2 linked regions of the Drosophila melanogaster genome follow. The protein of the gene in region 1 purifies or fractionates together with the protein of each later gene. This does not show direct contact. Each region holds a gene or a part of one and is shown in the gene's direction. Other genes may lie near its edges. The genes, in order: CG2790 and CG42857.

Region 1 (8,822 bases):
TGCAGGTCCAAGCCGTCATTGTGGGCTGGGTGGAACTACGCATTAGCTGCCCATTTAAAGTTCAAAATAGCGAGTTCGATGTCTTGATATCGCGGCGTGCGTCTTTCGTTTTGCAGGCCAGCGTTCGATGTTCAAGTGTCGCGTCGCGGGTGAAACTAATTAAGTAAATTTAACACATCATACTGAACCACTACCCCTCCTGTCCAGAGGCACTAGGAGCAGGCACTAGTACGTAAGCAAAAACGAAAATTTAAATTTTAATATCGATGAGCAACAAGCTCGCAAATCTACAGAGACATACGTACTACTAAGAAGAACAAACAAAACCGTTAAGAATTATTTAATTCATTTATACTTACAGTTCTGTGGATCTCCTTAGATTTTGGATATGGTTTGATTTTGGTCTTAGGATTTTCATTAGATTTATTATCACGTTACAGTATGACTTAGATAATGTATTCATCGTGTAGGTTCTACAGCGTCTATTATTTATATTAATTGGGTACACAACACCATAAATAATTACATGAGTCGATTAATCCAAATTACAACCAAATTTTCCCAATTGGTAAACATTAAAATTTTTGCCAATACAACAAAATTTTAAATTCATGGTAATGCCAGCTGGAATATAATTCGATTTCCTTCTGATTATTTCAATTTCTGGCATAGAAACTCAATAGTCTTTATCTACTTAACCAAGGAAACAAAACAGTAAAACAATGCCTTTTCTTTTCATTATTCTACAAAAAATTTGGCTAAACAATTTTCATTTGGATGGATCTTAATATGGTTTACTTAAAGGTCTACTTTTGAATACTTTTCTAATATAGATAATTAGGTGAAATGTGTTGTCAAGTTTAGTAATAAGATGAGCTCTATAAGTGTAGTCGACGTTCAAATGGGATTTGCATTGAAAGGTTAGTATATTTTCCACATTAACGCACACGCGCTGACGCTCGTTAAAAACTAAGGAATACTACCAGTTATTAACTTATGTAGTTTGGTTTGGTTACTAATATCAACGTATTCAAGCTATGATTGGATAGTATGAGTTGGTAGGATAGTATGATGGACATGCCACGGAAATAGTGTTCTGAACATACTTTCAGCTTGGGCATATAGACCGTTAAAATATATGTTTCGAATTTTTCATGAAAACAATGTGTATCCAAAACAAAATTGATGTAAATAACAGAAACGATTAATTTCAACAGAATATTACTTAGTATACACATTCTTTGATATGCTTTAACTAAAATCTATGGTGTCTAAAGTACATTTTAAAACTGAAAATATTACTTTGAAAACTTCTGGGTTATGATTACGATTGTAATGTAACACTTCCATCAAAAACAATTTGCTACATTCTAAATACTTTTTGTGATAAGATTCTGCACCAGTTCATATGTTCTATTACGGCCCTTGAGTATTCTAGTATTTTTGTAAATAATCGTCTCCCCTTATAAGTTAATGTTATTGCGCTTCGTTTCAGTGTCTAGTCTGAGGGACTCTTTTGGACTCTATATCTTAGCCAACTAGTTACTGTCTATATGATGCATTGTAAATAAGTATGATGATGATATTAGTCCTAGTAGTTCACTCAGTTCTATTCGCCATTAAATCCACTCAGTTGATGGCTTTGATGCTCCAAGCTGCGCTTTAAATCGAAAATGGTATTCAGTATGAGCTGCTGCTTGCGGTTACTACCGCCTATTGCATGGCCCTTGGCCTCGTCAACGGTCACGTCTTGCATAGAGCTCTTGGCCGACACGGAGGCCAAAAGCTTAATTTGCGAACGCTCATTTGACTTGCACCGTCCGTTTGAATCTGTGTATCATTTGATTAAATACTTCACTTACAAACAAGGCGAATTACTTACCCAATTCGAAGTCGAAGTTTTTTTTTATGCGCTCGAACGATGAGCTACCCTTGTATACCTTGCGCTTTAAGGGCTCGCTGTGTGGGCAGTAAAAGTTGTTATTAATATTTAATTCGGCATGCAATGGGTTTTCCATTTTCGTATTCGATCCATATTTTCCATCCCTCGTATTCGATTGCGGCTGAGGCAAGTAGTTGTGATTGCCAATATCCTCTACAGCTATGCACTCCATCTCAGGATCACTGCCGTTGAAGCTGATCACCGTTGTCGTGGTAGAAGAAGTCACCATCATCGTGCGTCGCTTGCTCTTTGGACTCTCCTGAATACTCCTTCCATTTAGCTGAAGTTGTGGCGAGAGTGGAGCAGAGGGAGGGTTGCCTTTTATTTTTCGTGGTGGCAACTCTGGTGGAGCATTTTGATTCATAAAGTTGGTCAGATGCGTTTTGCGAGGACTGTAACGGGCAGGCTTGGGACTGTTTGGTGGCGAAGAAGCAGACGATGTCTCAAACTTGAGCATCTCTATGCGCTTATTAATGGCTGCTGCTAACTCATGCTCAAGAGGAGGAGAGTTAAGAACCAGAGTCTGTTTTTTGGAGTCCACCACTTCACTGTTTTTAAGCATTTCCACCCGCTTGTTAGCTAAGGGATTCACTCGTCTTGGGCTGGCGACAGGCGTGTCTCTGGGAATGCTAATGGTGATATGTTATTAATAACGAACCAAATATTTAAACTTTATCATTCCTTACCTCTGTAAGCTGTTCTTCATCGATTCCAGCAAAGACTCCGCTTCCATAATTAGTTGTTTATATTTCATATCAGCCTCCAAGTCTGCCTTAAGAAGTGCTTTTTCGCTTTCTGCGATGGTGAGTGTTGACTTTTTTTTTATGCTTCCAAAGATTAGCGAGTTGGAGCGGTTTGACAGGGGAGACGTTTTGTATATTCTTTAAACAAAATATTTTAAAATCCTATATATAATTATTAAATTGTTGTCTTATACCTCTCACTTGGACCCAGTAGATTGCGGCGCAAACAGACGGGCGTGCCACCCACACTTCGGGTGCCACGAGGCTCACGAAGAGGTGACGAAGAAGTCTTTTCGCGATTTTCACAACTCTTCTTACGTGTTTTAAGGAACCTCTTGCGTCGGCGCTGTTGGGAGCTTTCCCCCGTCTCCTGACCGCTCTTGCGTCGGGAACGGACTGATGCCTTTCGATTGAGCACCGGACTGATAGGGTGATTAGAATAGTAGTGACAGTTGCCCAGATTTCGTGACAGATCCTTGCGGTCAAGTTCCACCTCTTGCATGGATGAAGTGTCTATAAAGTCAATGTCCAACAACTCGTCTGTGTCACACTCATCACCCGCATCCTGTCCAGTATCTAGCTCCGAAGCACAGCAGTCCGTAAGGTCTGAATCACTGCTAGAAGTCGAATTAAATATAAGAAGGCAACTTAAGTTGACTTGGCGAGCACTGAACGACTCCAACTCACCTTAATATATCAGTTTCCTTTTCGTAAATGTAACTCTCGTCGAACTTCCCAATCATTTCATTAAGGGTGGCCTCGTCATCACTAAGAACGAAGGATGTAGTGGTAGCTCCAGTTCCACCACCAGCTGCCACGGGCGCTGAAGTTGTTGTAGTCTCGGCGTGGTCCAAGTGACGCCGCTTAATGGTATGTGGGGCATGCACATTTTCCAATTCAGTCGAAGTCGAGGAGCCCTCGGATTCATAAACAACTCCAGCCCCAGGTGCAACACCAGCCCCTCCCCCAACAATGTCTATATCAGCCTGTTTGGCTGCCTGGCTAGGAGTAGCTCTGCAGTTGGAGGTTGCTGCATAAGGGACTGGCTTCCCTGCTTTGTTTGCTATTGTTTTGGCCACCGGAACTTCCAGTTCATTGCTTGACTTAATGCCCGACGAGGTCGTGGAGGTAGTACTGGTCGCATCCAGATCCAAGCGTGTGGGGCCTGTCGTGCTAGGCAAGAGCTCTCCCGTGTTGTACCAGGGATTTGTTCTTATACGACAGCGCTGTCTCGGCGAGGGAGCTGCAAAAAAGGAGATGAGAGATGCTACTTCAGCCAAGTAGAGATTTTAAATGGGTTAATTGCTCAGTTTGCCAGCAGCCGGGCTAACAACACTGAAACTCACACTCAAAGAGCTTTGACTGCTGCCGCAGAGCTAGCGAACTAGGCGACGACTCCGGGCCATGAGTGGCAGTTGCGAAGTTGCTCTTGGGCAACGGATCCATAGGCGACATCTCCTCTATGCGGTTAAGGCCGAACTTGTACCGCTGGGCCTCGACGGCCAGCGAGTTGACGCTCTTCGGGAAATAGTGGGTTCCCGAGCGCATGTTAATGTAGTACTCAGGTGGATTGTAGTTGCTGGCGGCGCATGGCGATGTGCCATCTGTGGAGTAGCCCGTGGAATAAGCGCTTTCTGGCGAGGGCAAGCTGTGTGGCCGGGGTCCCGAAATAAAATTATTGCGCTGAATTCCTCGTGGAGTTCGAATACGCGAGCCGGTAAGTGAAGCGGGTGGAATAGGCGGTGTAGCTGTCAAATTATCCAGTGACTCGCCATGCTGAGCCGGTGCTAGCTTGGAGGGAAGCAGGCGACCGTAACGAACATGATTCTTGCTTTGCCTTGGCTCTTCCTTGTAGATTAGACGCACGGCACTTAAGTTTTCTGACTGCGGGCGCTGTTGTTCTGCAATGGGTGGTGCATGCCGAAGCAGCAAAGCGCCAACTTCCTCGTACTCCACCTCCTCCTCAGGTGGGATGTGGTATTCCCCATTTAAGGACTGCTCTCTAAAAATTGCTTGTTTGCCAGAAGAGGGCTCCTTGGATCCCGTTGACCAGGACAACGACGATATGGAGGACGAAGAGCAGTTTACCCTGGTGGGCGATTTCTCCGCATAGGTTTCCTTGCTATTGGGCACGCTTAAGTGGTGCGACGGCTGCTGGAGCGGTTGATGCGGCTGATAGCAGTGCGGAGCGTGAAGCAAATTGTCCGACTTGGGCGAGGCTATGACGTAGGAATCTTCATCTGGGGATTGCCAGCCATATCGACGACTGGGTGGCTACGAAAATATGATCGACGTAAGCATTTGTATATTCCTAGGAAGGAAGCTACTTACGTGACACTGGATGGGGGAGACCTCGCGCCTCCGCACCGGACTGGCGATGCTGTGGCTTCCGCTACTGGTCAGGACCGGGCTAGTTAGGTTGCTGCCCTGTGTTGGTAAGGTGCCCGCCTTCTTCCCCACGCAAGAACTGCCTGCGTCCACGGTCCCTTGCTTGTGTTTACTGCCCTTCTTCCGCGGACGCACAATATGCGTCTCCATCCAGGAGCGCAGCTTGGATCCAAACATAGTGGTATTCTAGTCTTAGCCGATGTGGACGGACGGTAATTCCTGAAAGGGGAGTTCATTAAGCTGGCTGCAATTCAGCTGCAACAATGAAGAGGAGTGGACTCCTGGGACCACTTTGCGCTGATAAGGAAATCCATTTACTACGGCACAAAAGCCGAATGGCTTTTCAGTAGGGACACATTTTCTATAGTTTGGGTGGGAGGCTGTGCTGGAATTTTATGCGAAATTACCTTACTTGCAAATGTGGCAGACAACGTTGTCCTCATATCCTTTGCGCCTTCTTTTATTTTGGCGCCCACACACACACCCGCACAAGAGATGAAAGGGCAATGGTAAATCTACACCAGAACACACACGGACTTCGTCGGCTTTCTATACTTGTGTTTGTTTGTTTTTTGTTGACGGTTATTTTTGGCCGTTATTCATTACTTCGCGCCGAGTACCGACGCACCCAATGTTGTGGGGGTTGTTCGTAAGCAGAGATGCTTCAAGGACTCCACTCCCGCACTCACTCGACGTAAGTATGTGTGTGTATGTGAAGGCCTGTCTGTGTGTTACAGCCCACGGTTGTAAATCCCACGTAACTGTAAATTTTATGTCAAGCTATTTTCCTTTTCGTATGCAGACTCAAATGCTAAACGACATTTTGGCACTTTGCTTGTATCGTTATGGGTGATTGGCAATAGTCGAGCTTCGATTCCAGTCGATTATTATTTAGTTTATGCAAATTATGTATAAATGCTTCGGAAACTAAGGGAAAAAAGCACCGTTACGTCCTGGGAAAAACTACAACTTCTGATGTGTTTAACTGCTGCTTTTCACAGGAACCTTTCCGATTTTATTTTTTTTCTCTGCCTGTGTATAGGTATGCGATGTGTGAGCTTCGGTGGTAGTGAGAAAAGCATGCGGCAGAATTTAGTCAACTAAGGATGCGCGGACACGGATGAAAAGAAACGTCCGTCGCCGTCGAAAGTAAAAAAGCTAATGACGGGATGCGCAGTTACGTATGACTGCTAGGAGATGCCACTTGCAGTTTAGCCACTTAACTGGGTAACTGTAATTTCAAGACCTTGTAAGAATAGGCTTCTATTGTTTTCCTAACGTTTTTTTCAGCTATTACAATAAACGCAAAACGCTCTCAGCCCAAAAGTAAGCTACTTTGCAAGATATTTACGTTCCCCTTCCAGCGCTTTGCAGCACTGACAACGCATCTGTGAGCGCCAGCTGTCTTTCCGCCCATCTGGCAACTCTATCAAAATTATTTGTTGTTCTAAGAAACATGCGTTGCTATTACGAGGAGCTCGAGCTCCAAAGAAACGCCAACGATGGGGACATCAAGAGTGCGTACCGTAAGATGGCCCTGCGCTGGCACCCGGACAAGAATCCCGACCGACTGGCGGAGGCCAAAGAGCGCTTCCAGCTGATCCAGCAAGCGTATGAAGTTCTGTCTGATCCTCAGGAACGGTCTTGGTACGACAACCATCGCGAGCAGATCTTGCGCGGCAAGAACTCCGATTATGCGGAGAACTGCCTGGACGTGTTCCAGTTCTTCACGAGCTCCTGTTACAAGGGCTATGGCGACAATGAGCACGGCTTTTACCGCGTGTACACCGATGTCTTCGTCCAAATCGCCTCGGAGGACTTAGAGTTCATGGACAAGGACGACCGGTTGGGGATGGCGCCTGACTTTGGTCATTCAAACAGTAGTTACGAAGATGTGGTGGGTCCGTTCTACGCCTTTTGGCAGGCATACAGTACCCGGAAGACCTACGACTGGCTGTGTCCCTACGATGTTCGCGAAATAAAAGAGCGCTTTATCCTACGCAAGGTGGAGAAGGAGATGAAAAAGATCGTTCAGGCTGCCCGCAAGGAACGCAACGAAGAGGTGGGCGATGAATTCCCTTTTTTTTCTTCCGAGACACATTTTACTTACCTCATTTACTTAGGTTCGCAACTTAGTCAACTTTGTGCGAAAAAGGGATCCCAGAGTGCAGGCCTACAGGCGCATGCTTGAGGAACGCGTCGAGGCCAATCGACTTAAGCAGGAGGAGAAGCGCAAAGAGCAGTTAAGGAAGCGCCAGGAAGAACTGGCAGCCGTCAGGAAAAATAATGTCTTTAACGAGGGCTACGAGGAGCAGCTAAAGCAGTTAGAGCAGCAGTACGATAGCAAGTCAGAAGATTACACGGATGAAGACGAGAACGACGACGATGGCGAGGACTTTGACCATGAAGGCGGCCAGGAAGCCGAGGAGTACGAAGTGGAGTATGTAGACGATCTTTACTGCGTGGCATGCAACAAGACATTTAAAAACGCCAAGGCGCGTGCTAATCACGAAGAAAGCAAGAAGCATAATGAAAATGTCGACCGGCTGTGTCAGGAAATGGAGGAAGAAGAGGACGCTTTCCACAATGAACCCCATGAAGACAGTTTAATGGGCGTACAGGAATCGCTGGAAGAATTGCAAGTCTCTGAGGATCAGATATCTTTCGACGGGGTTCCAAGCGAAGAAGAATCTTCGCTAGCCAAACGAACCAAAAAAAACAAAAAGGCAAGGAAGTCAGCTGTCAAGCAAGCGCAGGCGGAAGGCAGTGACGAACCAGATGAGCCAATAGAAAAGAAGGCAATCAAGAGCGAGTCAGAGGATGAAGACTGGAGTAAAGGCAAAAAAGCGAGCAAAAAGAGTAAAAGCAAAAAGACGACGACTAGGAAGGTTAAGCTATTAGAGCAAACTGTTTCGGAACCGAATACAAAGGAGGCAACAGTGGCTCCCAAAAGCGGAGATGAGGACCTCGACCCGACCAAGTCGCAACACACTTGTGTTACCTGTAGGCTTGTCTTTGACTCCAAGAACAAGCTGTTTGCCCACCTAAAGAAGACGAACCATGGTGTCTACATACCTAAGGCAAAGCCTAATGTTGAGGGCAAGCCTCCTGGCAAAGCTAAGGGCAAGCGCAACAAGTAGGGTCGTATAGATATCCACCCACACCTTGTATCTATACTGTAGAATGTTAAAAGTTTATTTATGCTAATGATAAATTTAATTCGAGAATGAAGTTAAGTATGCTCGCTCCAAGTCAGATAGTGTTCTTATTGTATTCAAAGGCAGCTACGGAATACAGACCAGTTTACTGCCCGCCTCCACGCGTCTGCGAACTCGAGTTCGCATATTGGAAGACTCTGCCTTTAGGCTTATACCGGCGGCAGTAAATGTTAGGAGTACCCCAATGATTCCGCAGTAGAATGAAACTCCTGTAAGGATTAAGTTTAGTAAGTTTCTAAGAAAAGTTTCAAAGAATTACCTATGCTACAGTCGGCGGGGTAAAAGGGTTCGGCATCCATGCCGCATAGACGTTGAATCCGGTTCGCTCGCCATCCCATCGGATGCAGAAATAGACCCAACATCATACATATTCCTATAAACAATGCAAACTTAAATGCTGCGAGGATATCACAGTAATGGTTGCTTACCTGCTACGACCTGGGCGCAGGCCGTCATGTTGTGTATGCTCTTGCCACAGGCCGACTGGCGGCAGCAGGTGATCAGGGTCAGGATCACCGTTACAGAGAGTAG
Region 2 (7,483 bases), on another chromosome or scaffold:
GCAGGAAGCGAGTCCCTCATAACGGAAGCTGCCACAAAGTTGCGAGCACAAATCGCTACAAGAACGCAGCTCCTCGGGCTACGCGTTTGCTCAACAGGTAACTAGTAGCCATTGGAAAATCTTTCCCGTATCTACATACACTTGGGTATATAAAATATCTAACCTCAAGCGAAGGTAAATATTTCATTTAAATATCTGTAATATTGAGTTGTTTTACAAACATATCACATATGAAGACATTGTACCCTACCCACCACTGATTGCTGTATCCTAGCGATTGATGGCTTGAAAATGCGCAAATTGGAAGGAAGGGCTCCACTTGGAGGAGCAATTGAGAGAACAACGAGCTTAACAAGCTGCCAGAGCACCGGGGGCGCTTTTTGTTTCCAACTGTCCTGGCTGGTCCTCCTCCTCCACCACCTGCGCTGCGGATGAGGAGGAACAAAGCGGCAGGTAGTTGGCACTTCAATTGAACACATTAATGTGTCACTTTCGTCGGATCTCGGAGCGAGTTTCGGTGCGTCGGCAATGCCATAAATCAACACCCACCCCGTCCATCGCCATGGAGAGCTATCGATTAGCCGGGCTCCAACCTTCGGATTGGAGGCGTCAGGCAAATGGCATGGGCCAGGAGGGTGACACGAGGATTGGGGGGCAGGCGGATTGAGCCATGAGGCGTGCTGCTGCAATGAGTGCGACCACCAAAACCTGGACAGGTAGTTCTCCTCGCACCGTGGGCCTCAAATTTATGAACTTGACTTTCGGTTAGCTAACAGCCATCAGCCAACGTTGGGTGGCCCCTCCATCCGGCCCAGGCCTCTCGTCATTGGTTCCGGCCAGACACGAACGGGTATGAAAAGGTTCGCATGACTGCAGGAAATTACCATAATTTCAATTTAACAAATTAAACGAATTCCGTTCTGAGCTGGAGAAAAAAAAGAGAGCAGCGTCGGCCTCCAAAAGAGTTAAGGTTTAAGAAGTCCTTGCTTTGGGAGCTGAAGATTTTTACAGCTGATAAATGTGGATGAATTCACCTGACAAAATGGGTGGAAAACTACTTGCCGGCGGAGGGGGAACTTTTTTATTTCAATTACTTGATGGAAAAGATGTGTAATTTGTATTTACACAAAAATTGCAGGCACTGCTAAATTACTATTAAAAATATAACCGTGCCAAAAATATTTTTTAACGGTCAATCAAGTTTTTGATTTGCATTCAAAAACAATAGGGACTAAAATTCCAATAAGAAACCATTGTAAAGGTGTTAACCCTATTTTAGAGATTTCATTTATCGAACTTTTTTGAGGTTACGCAAAAAAGTGGCCCGTTTTCAAGACTATCGAAGTGACAGAGAACATTTCGCAGGGAGTTGCATTTGCTAAAGACCTGCCAGCGATTAACACGATGGATCCACTCCGCCGTAATCCTCTTTTGGAAATTACCAAATGTGAGATGTGCTCCAATTTGGTATACCATTTTCCGACTGGATTGTGTGCCCGCTGCTTAACTCTTTGGGCCGGAAAGAAACCAATGGACGGACTGAGACTGACCGTGGACCAATCGAAGGCTTTCCTTGTGAACATTGCTCGCTGTTCGGATGCCCAGGATAAGAGCCATATGGACCCCACCTTTCAACGCGTGATTGCCGAGGTGAGATTGCAGCGCCAACAGAAACTTGAGCTGTTCCAGAAGATTCGCCAGCAGTTACAGCTTTCCGTACTCACCGGTTCCTTCTATGACAAAAATCCAAAATACGAAGTCAATGAGGACTATTGGAATATACCGGATATCGTCGATGCAGACATGCTGATGTTTCAGAAAAATATTGACCTGCTTGCAGATATACCCACCATTTCGTCAGAGATCAATGACGAAAATAAATACAATAAGCGCGAAAATAGAAAACGAAATTTGTAGCTGCTATCCACTTTTAATACAAAAGAAAGTACAAATATTTCTGAGAAATATACATATAAATGATAACGTGATATAATAAAGTATTTATACACCTTTTGGTAAATTGTAAACTTTTTTTTTCCAAAAACTGAAAGCTGTTTATGTTTATGTTTATGTGATAATGGGTCATTACCAATTTGACCGAAGGTCAATTCCTCACCAGGGAATCGTGGAAAGGATTGAATCGGATGCCTTGTAATTGGTACTTTTAGCCGGTGTAATAAATTACCCAAAATCCGGGCAGCGACCAAGTCGAATCCAATTGAGCAAATGTGATTGCCAGGTCATCATTACCATCGTCCATTGCCCATCGTCCATCGTCCATTGCCCATCAGATATCAAGCTCCGACTGTCTCCAGGGGCTCATGGACATTTGGCTAATGAAAATGTTTATTCAAATTTACGTCAATGGATGTGTTTACACGAATGACCATCAATCTACATAAATAAACCCAAGTGCTGGGCGAGATATTATATGTATGTGTGCGTGTACCATGGAATGTCGCACAGTGTATTGTTCTTTGCCCGGCATTGTTCAACAATTTGTTTAATGAGAAAACTAATAAATCAAATGCGCCGTCAATTACACTCGAATTTATTCCGGGAAGTCCAGGGCAAGGGATCCACTTGGATTGTGGATCAATAGATCGATTTATTTATTGATGGAGTCGTTTTGGGAACAAGCTTATATGAGTTAACTTATCCTATGTAAGCAATTATATATATATCAAATTTAACAAATATTTTATAACATAGTAAAAATCAATAAGCATTCCTTTCTGATAACCATTTGGGTGACACATGCTCATCCTGAACACGGGCTGCTGGCCAAAATGATGTGGATTTGATGGCTTAAATACCAGATGGCCAAAGTCCAAGAGCCTGTGAATGTCGCCGCATCCTGCTAAGTGGCAGGATGAGAGGCCAGACGGAGAGGACATTAGTCAAGTGCAACAGCTTTCAAATAAACATAAATTGAGGATGCTACGCTGTGGCGGAGCACGGAGCACGAGGTGGCACTGGGCAAACCGGGGGGGGTGCACTGGAAAGTGGAAATTGGGGAGAGTGGGGGAATACTCGGGCAGGACTTTGCAACAGCATCTCCAGCTCCTTTCAGCCGCCTGGTGTCGTAATTAAAGGCAGTCGCGCAATAACGAAGAGAAATGCCCGTTGCCAACGAGCGGAGGATGCGCTTCTAATTTATTTGTTTTCCTCACTTGACTTTTATTTACACGGGCATTGGCATGTGAGTGGCATGGAGTGGAACGGCAAGGAGGAACGGAGTAGTTGGGTGACTCTTGGCTGCTTTTCGGGTGGCTTTCGAGGTGGCGCAGAAGGAGAGCTATTGCAACATCCTGACGCCGTTTGTTACCTTTTGTTTGTGAAAGTTCTCCGTGCGCGCCTTTTCGGGGCCAGGGCAAAGTGCCAAATTGGCCTAATGGCGTTAATGCGAATACGAGTCGAGACTAAACCAACGACCAACCGAACAACCAACCAACCAACCAACCAACCAACCAGGCCCACATCAAAGGTCGTTTACACAGCTACACAGGATTCGGTACCAGCTTTCAACTTCGAATGCAGATGCACTTGAAAACTGGGTGCAGTTGCCAAGCCAGCGTTATATGTATACCCCACTCCCACATCCACATTCATGTCCACTTTCCACTTTCCACTCACAATGCAATGCAAATCAAAGCACTTAAAAAGTTGAGCAATTTGGCAACGAATGCTAATGAATGTTGATAACATTCCTAGGGATGCATTCGGATTTCGGATTTCATTTAAGTTTAAATTCCGCAGCCCTGGCATCTTCATGAAATACCAAAATTAATTGGCTTATCGAAAATGGCGAAAACAATGCTGCCAGTGTCAAAAAAAACAGATAGCTGCACAAGGTCTTACTATTCGTCACGTGTTGCAGTTTGCTAGATTATTTAAGAAAATCATTTTAGAAATGCCGCCTTTTTCCACCTGTTCTTTGTGCAACGTAAGAACCAGGAAGATGGCAAAGGATCCTGTGACCTTAAAGCTAATCTACGTGTGTCCAGTATGAAAGCAAGTTACTAGTTATGTGAAAATTGTAAACTTATGTTAAATCTTGCAGATATGCTTTAAGAGCACGTTTCAGGAAAAAAAACAGCTAATTAAAGCTGAGAATCTTAAAAAGAACGGAGTTGCCAAACAGCCGAAAATGAAAAGGATCACGTGCCAGGATAAAAGCGAAAGGATAGCAAAGAAAGCAGTTGATCAATGTGTGGAAACTGAGAAGAAGGAAAAGAAAATGCGCCCTCTCAAAAGCTACAATCCACGTGCAATTGATCCACCTAAGGTGCATCGTATGCCGACTATCACACCTTTACTCATGCAAACTGTGATAATTAAGAATCGGAAGTATGTGGCCATTAGTGAGACAGCCGACAACGAGTGATATGTACTTGGCCTGATTTTTCAGTTTTATAAGGCAGCGACTGGTATCTAATTAAACTAGTTTCGACATATGCTCATTGCCATCTATTGAAGCGCTTAATAAAAAGCACAAAACGAAATTGGTAGACTCTTTTAAAGTTGATTTCGACACATATATGTATGTACATTGTATTAAAACCCACTATTGCATTTAAATAAGTGCACTAGATGCCGCGACCCGTATTTAGTTCTAAATTTGTTATGGCTGTTGCCACTTTTGTTGCACTGGATGTGCGTGATGTGGCGGTATTTGTTTATGTACCATTTTCGCATCCGCTTTGCATGGAAGTTGCTGCAGTTGCAGTTTGGCCACGCCCACTGCGTAACCCGATGCGATACGAAAATGGCCGCCCATCTTTTTGTACCGCTTTCGTTTCGCATGTGCGTGATTTTCGAACATTTCCCGGGAGCCCATTAAACTTTTAATGGAATTTTCATAATCATGTTTAAAGTTGCGAAGGTACGTGGAAAGTTTTGCATTATTGGTATTGATTTAAAGCCAAGGGGAATCAATTTTCATGGTTACTTTCACTGTCTGCCTCCTCAGGCTCTTCAAATTAAATACAAATCATGCATTTGTCGCATGCTTCGAGTATTGGTAAACCCTACTTGCCGTACTCACGCCTAAATTACCATACCAATTAAGCGTGTTTATCGAAGCTTATAAACCACAATAAAATTAGTCGCATTTCCATCGATCCACGGTAAGCACACACAATCGCAATGTTGGGTGATCTAGTGGACTTTTTGGGCAAATCCCCACCCGATCCTGTGCGCCTGCCACTCCTGGCCAGCCACAAGCCCGTCCTGATGGTATTGGCCACCTACCTGTTCTTCGTAAAGATAGCGGGTCCAAAGATCATGCGGAATCGAAAGCCCTTTGACCTTCGCGGTCTGATAAAGGCGTACAACATCATGCAGATCGTGTACAATGTCATCATGTGCTTTTTTGTGAGTTTCCCCCCAAAAATATCAACCATCACGGATTGTTTAATATAGAAATTCCACTTTACAGGCTGTCCACTTCATGCTGGGACCCGGAGACTATAACTTTAAGTGCATCAAGAACCTGCCGCCGGATCATGAGTACAAGACCTGGGAGCGCTGGCTTACGTACTCGTACTTCTTCAATAAGCTGCTCGATCTGCTGGAGACGGTCTTCTTTGTGCTGCGAAAGAAGGATCGCCAGATATCCTTTCTGCACGTCTTCCATCACATGTACATGCTGTACTTCAGCTTTATGTATCTGTACTACTACGGATACGGTGGTCATGGGTTCTTTATGTGCTTCTTCAACGTCGTCGTGCACATCATGATGTACAGCTACTACTATCAGTCGTCGCTCAATCGCGATTCGAAGGGCGATCTGTGGTGGAAGAAGTACATCACTATCGTTCAGCTCATCCAGTTTGGAATCGTTCTGGGGCATAGTATCTACACCCTAAAGCAACCGGACTGTCCATCAGCCCGGTTCTCGGCGACCTGTGCCGGCAGCATCTCCGTTGTGTTCATCATCTTATTTAGCAACTTCTATTTTCATGCCTATATTCGACCCAAGAAAAGGAAACAGAAAAACATCTAAGCTAGAGCCAGTCATCAGATTTGTTCTGTGCAGCATTTAGATCTCTATAGAGAAACCTATTTTAATTTTAGAGCTAATAAAAAACATAAAGATGTATTTGAATTGTATATCTGTTTACTAGTAATGACTGATATTCGGATGAATATTATGATGGAAAAGGTGGAATAACACAAGACTTTGCCCGAAATTGTATGCTATTACTACGAAAATATCAATATCAAACAAAGTGTAAGTAAACTTCATTAGAAGTGACACGGTTAGAATTATATAAAATCGATTGATCTTAGAATACGTTAAAGTTATTACGTCAAAAGGCATTAAAAACTGGACTGCATTTAAAACTGGACTACATTAAAAACTAAATACGAATGCCATTATTTTACCTTTCGTAACCAGGGGACAGTGGATGTTCAACATATCCGGCATTCCAAGCGATGGAAACCTATTTTCCTTACTTTGTGACCGCAATACCCTCTTATATGGTCGGCGTAATAGGTTTTACTTACGTATGTAGGTATTTGTATAATAGAAACACACACTTAAATCAGCCTCGAAAACGAGCAGATTACCATTTCTCGGTTCTCGGCCGGAGTCCACATCAGTCGCTATTCCACCGACGTCGATAACACTTAGATATCCGACATGTTTGCCCATATGCTGGACTTCCTGAATCGATCGCCACCGGATCCTGTGCGTCTTCCGTTGACCAGCAGCCACTGGCCGGTGTTGACCATCCTTGGAATCTATCTAGTCTTCATAAAAATAGTGGGTCCTTGGTTTATGCAGAATCAAAAGCCCTACAATCTGGATAGAGCTATCAAGATCTACAACATCGTGCAAATCGCATACAATGTCATTTTGTTAATATTTGTAAGTAATGCTCTTTTTTTTAACAAAAATATATTAATATTCATTATATGTATCTCCAAATTTAAAGAGTGTGCACTTCATGCTTGGTCCTGGCAACTATAACTTCAGTTGCATATCCAATCTGCCGTTGGATCATGAGTACAAGAACTGGGAGCGTTGGCTCAGTTACTCCTACTTCTTCAACAAGCTCATGGATCTGCTGGAGACTGTGTTCTTTATATTCAGAAAGAAGTATCGCCAGATATCGTTCCTGCACGTTTTCCACCACGTATACATGGTGTACATAGGCTTCTTGTACATGTATTATTATGGATACGGCGGCCATGGATTCTTCTTGATCACCTTCAACGTGGTGGTGCACACCATGATGTACACCTACTACTACCAGTCGTCCCTCAATCGGAACTCGGGTGGCGATCTCTGGTGGAAGAAATACATCACAGTCGTTCAGCTTGTCCAATTTGTTATTATATTCTCGCACAGCGTCTATATCCTCCGGCAAACTGATTGTCAAACATCACGATTATCGGCAACTTGGGGCTCACTGATATCTGTAGTATTTATAATTCTATTTAGTAACTTCTACGTTCGCACCTACATTCTTCC

What was found.
Region 2: the proteins of CG2790 (region 1) and CG42857 purify together in Drosophila melanogaster (affinity purification with mass spectrometry, with the first as the bait; one large-scale study listed by BioGRID). This does not show direct contact.

Annotation. Positions count from the first base shown.
Region 1 is NT_033778.4:24,946,061-24,954,882, reverse strand, and holds CG2790 (uncharacterized protein), read left to right. Parts: upstream 1-6,504; 5' UTR 6,505-6,529; coding exon 6,530-7,135; intron 7,136-7,196; coding exon 7,197-8,213; 3' UTR 8,214-8,322; downstream 8,323-8,822. Other genes in the region: CG12851 (uncharacterized protein), read right to left, coding at 1,610-1,830, 1,883-2,571, 2,629-2,823, 2,880-3,302, 3,373-3,928, 4,032-4,959, 5,017-5,250; CG3770 (uncharacterized protein), read right to left, coding at 8,358-8,500, 8,551-8,664, 8,720-8,822.
Region 2 is NT_033777.3:9,817,533-9,825,015, reverse strand, and holds CG42857 (uncharacterized protein), read left to right. Parts: upstream 1-3,824; 5' UTR 3,825-3,913; coding exon 3,914-4,006; intron 4,007-4,063; coding exon 4,064-4,387; 3' UTR 4,388-4,502; downstream 4,503-7,483. Other genes in the region: CG34302 (uncharacterized protein), read left to right, coding at 1,405-1,917; CG9458 (uncharacterized protein), read left to right, coding at 5,149-5,376, 5,441-6,007; CG9459 (uncharacterized protein), read left to right, coding at 6,650-6,877, 6,945-7,483.